Linked DNA regions of Saccharomyces cerevisiae S288C. The protein of the gene in region 1 interacts with the protein of each later gene in a pairwise test. Each region holds a gene or a part of one and is shown in the gene's direction. Other genes may lie near its edges.

Region 1 (3,507 bases):
GTAAATAGACGTATGTATTTAACTAACTTTTGGAAACGTTGTAAGTTCCATTAATAATTTTGGTCAACATAAAGTGGCGAGAAAAACGCCCTGAAAAAACCTTTGTGGTGTATACACTCAATGTGGATGTTGCTTTAAAATGGATTGTAGTGTTATCTTCACGCACGCTTAAATCATTGCAAAAAGTTTTTTTTAACGTAAGTGAAAAAAGACACCAATGCAGTTTTATTAGTACCTGCCAAACAGATAATCGATCATTTATGAGGTCTTTTACTTCACATTGAGTTTTTGTAGCTCAACAGTCTATTTATCAAATATACTTGTTGGAGACCTTACAAAAGTGTCTTTCTACATCTCAACTTAAAGTGATGAAGTTGACAAGGGTCTTACTCTGAAATTCCATCAGAGTAACTACGGTAATCTATATGGATTTCTGTTGGTCTTTAGAACAATCTCTGAGGATGAATTCAAGACTCACCTTCCAGTACATAGTAATCGTAGGCCCTTGTCTGTTATTGTAGAAACTTCTTCGTTGAATTTTAATAATGTGAGACGGAAAGAAATACAACCATATGAACAATTTTTTTAATTGTTAGTTATCCTGCGAACTGTGAGGACCAGTTTAATATATGGGAGGAGTTGAAAAAAATACAGTTTTAAGACTTTAAGCTTTCACGCAATCACTTACATTCTTTTGTGTGTATGCAGGCTATAGCTATCATTGAAATAGTAAAAGAAAGCAACTCCCGTCACTTTTACCATTGGTTCTAGAATGGGTTTGCAGTATGAAAAAAAATGAACGTAAAGAATATATTTCAACTGTCATTTTTAGCCCATTTCGAAGAATGATTGAGCACCGTCATTGATCGCTTAAGATGGCTAGCTTCAACATAGCGGAGTACATTGGAAAATCAGTGATCATTCTGTTGACTTCGTTTCAAATAATTCAGGTCAATATAATGTTAGAGTGTTCAATTTAGTGGGCAGTTTGTAACATGTATTATTGAGCAAGTGAGCTCTGATATCAGAGACGTTAACATGCAACTCAACCAAGTTGACTCATTCAAGTTGTGCTAAAATGGCCGTAGTGGAGGGGAGGGCCAGCGATGCAGGCGACACCAGCAACAGTTGAAGTTAGTTTTACCATTATGTTCGCTTTGCTTGTTAGTGCTGAATAGACTATACTATAAAAGGAGCAATGCAGGATATTCTCCAAGGCATAATGTGTGAAGTGGCCTATTAGTATGAATATCTTAGCAGTTGTTGCTGCTCAAACGAATCATTACACATCTCAAATCATCCTTTGTTCACTTTCTCTTTCTGCACCTACATCACCGTCTTTAACTGCCTTTATTGAGATGTGGCTGCTCCTGACCTGTTCACCTTTTATAAATCTTGCATAGGAAGGCATGCATTGAACTTTTTTTATTTACTTTCGTATGTTCAGACGAAAAAAAAAAATATTTCAGGATTACTTTCCGAAAGAATCCTTTGTATACATGCAATATCCTTAGACCCAACTTGATTAGAACTGTCATCCAGAAGCCCAATGCTCAAGCTTTGAATATCATATTTTAAAAGTTTTTTATGACAATGAAATTTTGTTTCTCCAAGTCAGGACACGGGGAAAATCTTTACTTTTAGTGCTATCCATAAATATACAGTTCTTTAGCCCCATATTTTATCAGTAAAACTACTTATGGCTGTCCTTACCGTATGCGGTATAATGAAACTTTTGAAAGGAACATCTTAATATACCGCCTTGACATATCCGGGTAATAATAATACAATATTCGGAAGTTTTCTAGCATTAAATGGACAGTAAGGTAAAGAAATGAGATGTGGTTGTTATATGGAGATCGTAGAATAAAAAGAGAGACACTTACAGCACTGGTGCGATCCATAACCTGAATTCATAATGCTGGTTCCACCTGCTAACTTTGGGATTGCTGAAGAAGGAATATATAGATGTTCTAAAGTGGAGACATTAAATTTATCCTTTCTGGAAACTCTCAATTTAAAGACAGCTATATTTATTGGAGGTCAAGAACCATCCAAGTTTTTCAAAGATTTTTTCACAAGATCATCCATAAAATGGATTGTTTTAAGGATGTCTGATTTCTCGGCTGCGGCAGTTCCGGTAAAAAGCTCTTCTGTATCTAACGCAAATTTATATTCGAATAATAACAGTACTCTATCATTACAGGAAGAAAAGAAAAAATCCACTGCAAATGGGTCACAAAATTCTACTACAGGGGATCCTGTAATTCAGGAGGAATTGGCTTACCACTTGACTGACAATGATGACTTAATGCTGATTAAGAGCACGTGTTTAAAAAGAACTTTCAAAACATTATTGAATGTGGATAATTATAATGTTTTATTGGTAGATAAGACCGCGTTGGTCATTGGTATACTTCGAAAAATTCAGAAATGGAATATTGCATCAATCATAAATGAGTACAGATTATTTTCTGGTAAGAATAGAAATTATTTTGCGGAAACATTTCTAGAAATAATTAACATTGAGATAGAACAGGAGAAGGATAATAAGACAATTGTGGACAACAAAGCAAAAAAATTGCCCCTTGAGAATAATAGGACGCATTCGATAGAGTATAAGGCCAATTCTGGCAAACTTATTAGAGTAAATGAAGATGACCTTTGCAGAGAGCCAGAAGTGCCTCAGCGGCTTTTGACATTAATAAATCAAATCGAAACCAAAGTGAAAAATAATAAAGTATTACAAGTAAGTGGAGTTCTAGGAGACGATTTGAAGAAAACCTCTTCTGACCTAGGAATTTTTGGCCATAGGTATAGATTAGCATTTAATAAAAAAGAAAATGGAGATTATGGCTATTATAAAGCAAGGGGAAAAGATAACGTCAAAATAAGGATACCCTGTGATTCTGAATTACCAGATTGGTTCAGGTTTCAACGAGATTTGTGGGAAAAAGAAAACGTTCCGGAAGAGCATCACTTTTATAGGGAACATATTTTTACATAGTTTACATTTTTACGTATATGTATAGATGATTTCATGATAAACGTTTTCCACTTTTCTATCATTTCATCATCTAAATGGGAATAGCAAACCCTGGGAGTTCTTTGTCGCACTATTTTCCAAGCGTAAAAAGGCATACTTCAATTTTTCTTTTGTTTACGTTTCAGGAAGTCAACAAAACTTGTTTACTTATAAACACAAATACCTACAGGCACTAAAGTTTGTTTTTTGGCCTCTATAAAATTTCCCTCAATGTTGTATTCTCTGCGTGTACATCCTCATAATCCTCGTTTTCTTCATCATCAAAATTCAAATAAGTGTGATCACCCATCGCTCTTGGTTGGAAGATTAATTTAACCAAAAAAATGATGCCAAATAAGGCGCAAAGCCCTGCAACGATGAGGTACAGTACGCCTAGTGACATATTTCTACCACCAATAGCTCCATTTGTAGTCAGTACAAATGATTTTGTGCCACCAAAGAGTGAAATCGGATAATTCAAC
Region 2 (3,147 bases), on another chromosome or scaffold:
TCTAGATAAAATATTCAAATCGATGGTGATGACGGCACGATAAAACGTAATAAATGATGAAATGACTTGTCACGGCGTAGCAGCGCCAGCAGCTCAGTCTAATCGCCGTACAGTGGGTGGTGTGGCTAATCGCTTAGGCTTTTTATTCAGAAGGACCTTTTCATTCACCTCGCCCCCCTTGGAGGTTCCTGCCTGACCCCTTTGCCCCTGGCCTCGCCCCTGCGCCATGTCTCTGCCTGGAGCGTGACATTTAGGACGGTGAAGCTAGGCAGGCCTTCAGAAATTAAACGGAACATGACAGCAAAGACGAAACAAAGCTGGAATAAGGGGATCTGGGAAAACGGGAAACAAGGTTCACATCAGCAAACATTTCTACCGAAAATCTGGGTAAACATTTATAGTACCCCAACATCTTAAGTTTTAGCCGTTGTCTTCTCTTATCGCCTAGAATCGCTCATTTCAAGCGTAACGCAATCCGGCTTTTGTTTTTTTTCCATTTTATTCATCCACTCTTTATCTGACTCTTCTGCACTATATTAATCAACTAGGAGAAAATTACTTGAGCAGAAAGATACGAGAGAATTACGGATAAAAAAACCAAGTTAACCGTTTTCGAATTGAAAGGAGATATACAGAAAAAAAAATGCCTTTGAACAAGTCGAACATAAGAGAGTACAAGCTAGTCGTCGTTGGTGGTGGTGGTGTTGGTAAATCTGCTTTGACCATACAATTGACCCAATCGCACTTTGTAGATGAATACGATCCCACAATTGAGGATTCATACAGGAAGCAAGTGGTGATTGATGATGAAGTGTCTATATTGGACATTTTGGATACTGCAGGGCAGGAAGAATACTCTGCTATGAGGGAACAATACATGCGCAACGGCGAAGGATTCCTATTGGTTTACTCTATAACGTCCAAGTCGTCTCTTGATGAGCTTATGACTTACTATCAACAGATATTGAGAGTCAAAGATACCGACTATGTTCCAATTGTGGTTGTTGGTAACAAATCTGATTTAGAAAACGAAAAACAGGTCTCTTACCAGGACGGGTTGAACATGGCAAAGCAAATGAACGCTCCTTTCTTGGAGACATCTGCTAAGCAAGCAATCAACGTGGAAGAGGCGTTTTACACTCTAGCACGTTTAGTTAGAGACGAAGGCGGCAAGTACAACAAGACTTTGACGGAAAATGACAACTCCAAGCAAACTTCTCAAGATACAAAAGGGAGCGGTGCCAACTCTGTGCCTAGAAATAGCGGTGGCCACAGGAAGATGAGCAATGCTGCCAACGGTAAAAATGTGAACAGTAGCACAACTGTCGTGAATGCCAGGAATGCAAGCATAGAGAGTAAGACAGGGTTGGCAGGCAACCAGGCGACAAATGGTAAGACACAAACTGATCGCACCAATATAGACAATTCCACGGGCCAAGCTGGTCAGGCCAACGCTCAAAGCGCTAATACGGTTAATAATCGTGTAAATAATAATAGTAAGGCCGGTCAAGTTTCAAATGCTAAACAGGCTAGGAAGCAGCAAGCTGCACCCGGCGGTAACACCAGTGAAGCCTCCAAGAGCGGATCGGGTGGCTGTTGTATTATAAGTTAATAAAAAGGAAATAGTTGTAGAAACGCTAAGACGAAAAGAACTCTATAAAGTTGAAACGAGTACACACATTTATAAATATATACAAAAGTAAATAAAAAAGTGACTGTTTTTATATTGCTTATTGCCATTTGCTATTTCCGTTTCATTCTTGTTAACATTGGAAACTTTGGGCAATATCATATGGTTGCCGGGTAAAGGAAAAAACAAACAACATCGCTATAACATAAAATTGGACATTGCAGAGAGTCATCAATCACATCCATTTTCACAAGAAAGAGGTGTTCCACCTGGAATAACAAGCTTCTCTTTCCCCTTAGAATGACATCTAAAGTTGGTGAATATGAGGACGTTCCAGAGGATGAGTCCCGCCTCACAGAAGAGAACGTATCCGTACCTGAAGAAGAAGTAGAAGACGAAGACGAGGAAGAAGACGACGATGATGATCATATATATATCAATGAAGAAACAGAATCTGGTCGCGAAAAGGTCTTGGTATCACATGCCCCACAAGAACGTATCGTTCCACCTTTGAATTTCTGTCCCGTTGAAAGATACCTCTATAGATCTGGTCAGCCTTCACCTGTGAATTTCCCCTTTTTACTAAACCTAAAACTGAAAACAATTATATGGCTGTCTAACGAAGAACCTCAAGATACCCTCCTAGAGTTTTGTGATACTCATAGAATAAACTTACAATTCGCAGCCATCAACCCGGATGCCGGTGAGGACGATAATCCATGGGACGGTCTCACTGAACATTCTATAATTAATGTACTACAAACGATCGTCACTCAAGAGAATTATCCCTTGCTAGTGTGCTGTGGTATGGGAAGACATAGGACTGGGACAGTCATTGGATGTCTCAGAAGAATAATGGGTTGGAACTTAGCCAGTGTATCCGAAGAATATAGACGCTTTACTGGTAGCAGAGGTGGTAGAATTCTTGTAGAGTTGCTTATAGAAGCTTTCGACACTAATTTAGTAAAAATAGACAAAAATAAAGCACCAAGTTGGTTACTGACAGCTTTGGAGTAGAGGCAAGAAAAAAAAAATGCAAAAGATAAAGAAAAAGCACTGAGCTTTATGACCATTTACCTAAAGTTTGAAATGTTTCAGGATGCACGGCCCATTCGCGAACCAACTTCTAAAGATCACACGAAATGAAATTCAAAATAAATGAAATTTATTTAATGGGTAATTTTATAGAATATTAATTATCCGATTTATATATGGACATACTTACTATGGACATGATAATGAACAAAAAAAGATATCCGCTTGATATCATGCTTGCTCCAACTTTTCATAAAGCTGTTCCCTTGCATACCTTATATTTTTTTGTAATGTCTGATCGATTTGACGTTTTAAATCACATTTCTTGGCAACATATCCTTCCTCATAAATTCGTTTCCAAGTATTGTGATATGACTTGACGAAATCAGCTGGCAGTAAATCATTTTCAGTGGCATTGACCAAATTCTGTGATGTCTGTGGAGCCCAATACTTGAATGTAGCTGCTGCCAATACCCATGGTA

Evidence for each region. Proteins that work in one complex are often made in the same cells at the same time.
Region 2: the proteins of OCA4 (region 1) and OCA1 interact in binary tests that used the Saccharomyces cerevisiae proteins (3 or more experiments, as listed by UniProt).

The regions. Positions count from the first base shown.
Region 1 is NC_001135.5:287,670-291,176, reverse strand, and holds OCA4 (Oca4p), read left to right. Parts: upstream 1-1,918; coding exon 1,919-3,007; downstream 3,008-3,507. Other genes in the region: YCR095W-A (uncharacterized protein), read right to left, coding at 1,380-1,538; aminophospholipid translocase regulatory protein CDC50, read right to left, coding at 3,240-3,507.
Region 2 is NC_001146.8:438,067-441,213, reverse strand, and holds OCA1 (putative tyrosine protein phosphatase OCA1), read left to right. Parts: upstream 1-1,930; coding exon 1,931-2,647; downstream 2,648-3,147. Other genes in the region: PLS1 (Pls1p), read left to right, coding at 295-417; Ras family GTPase RAS2, read left to right, coding at 644-1,612; MIC27 (Mic27p), read right to left, coding at 2,897-3,147.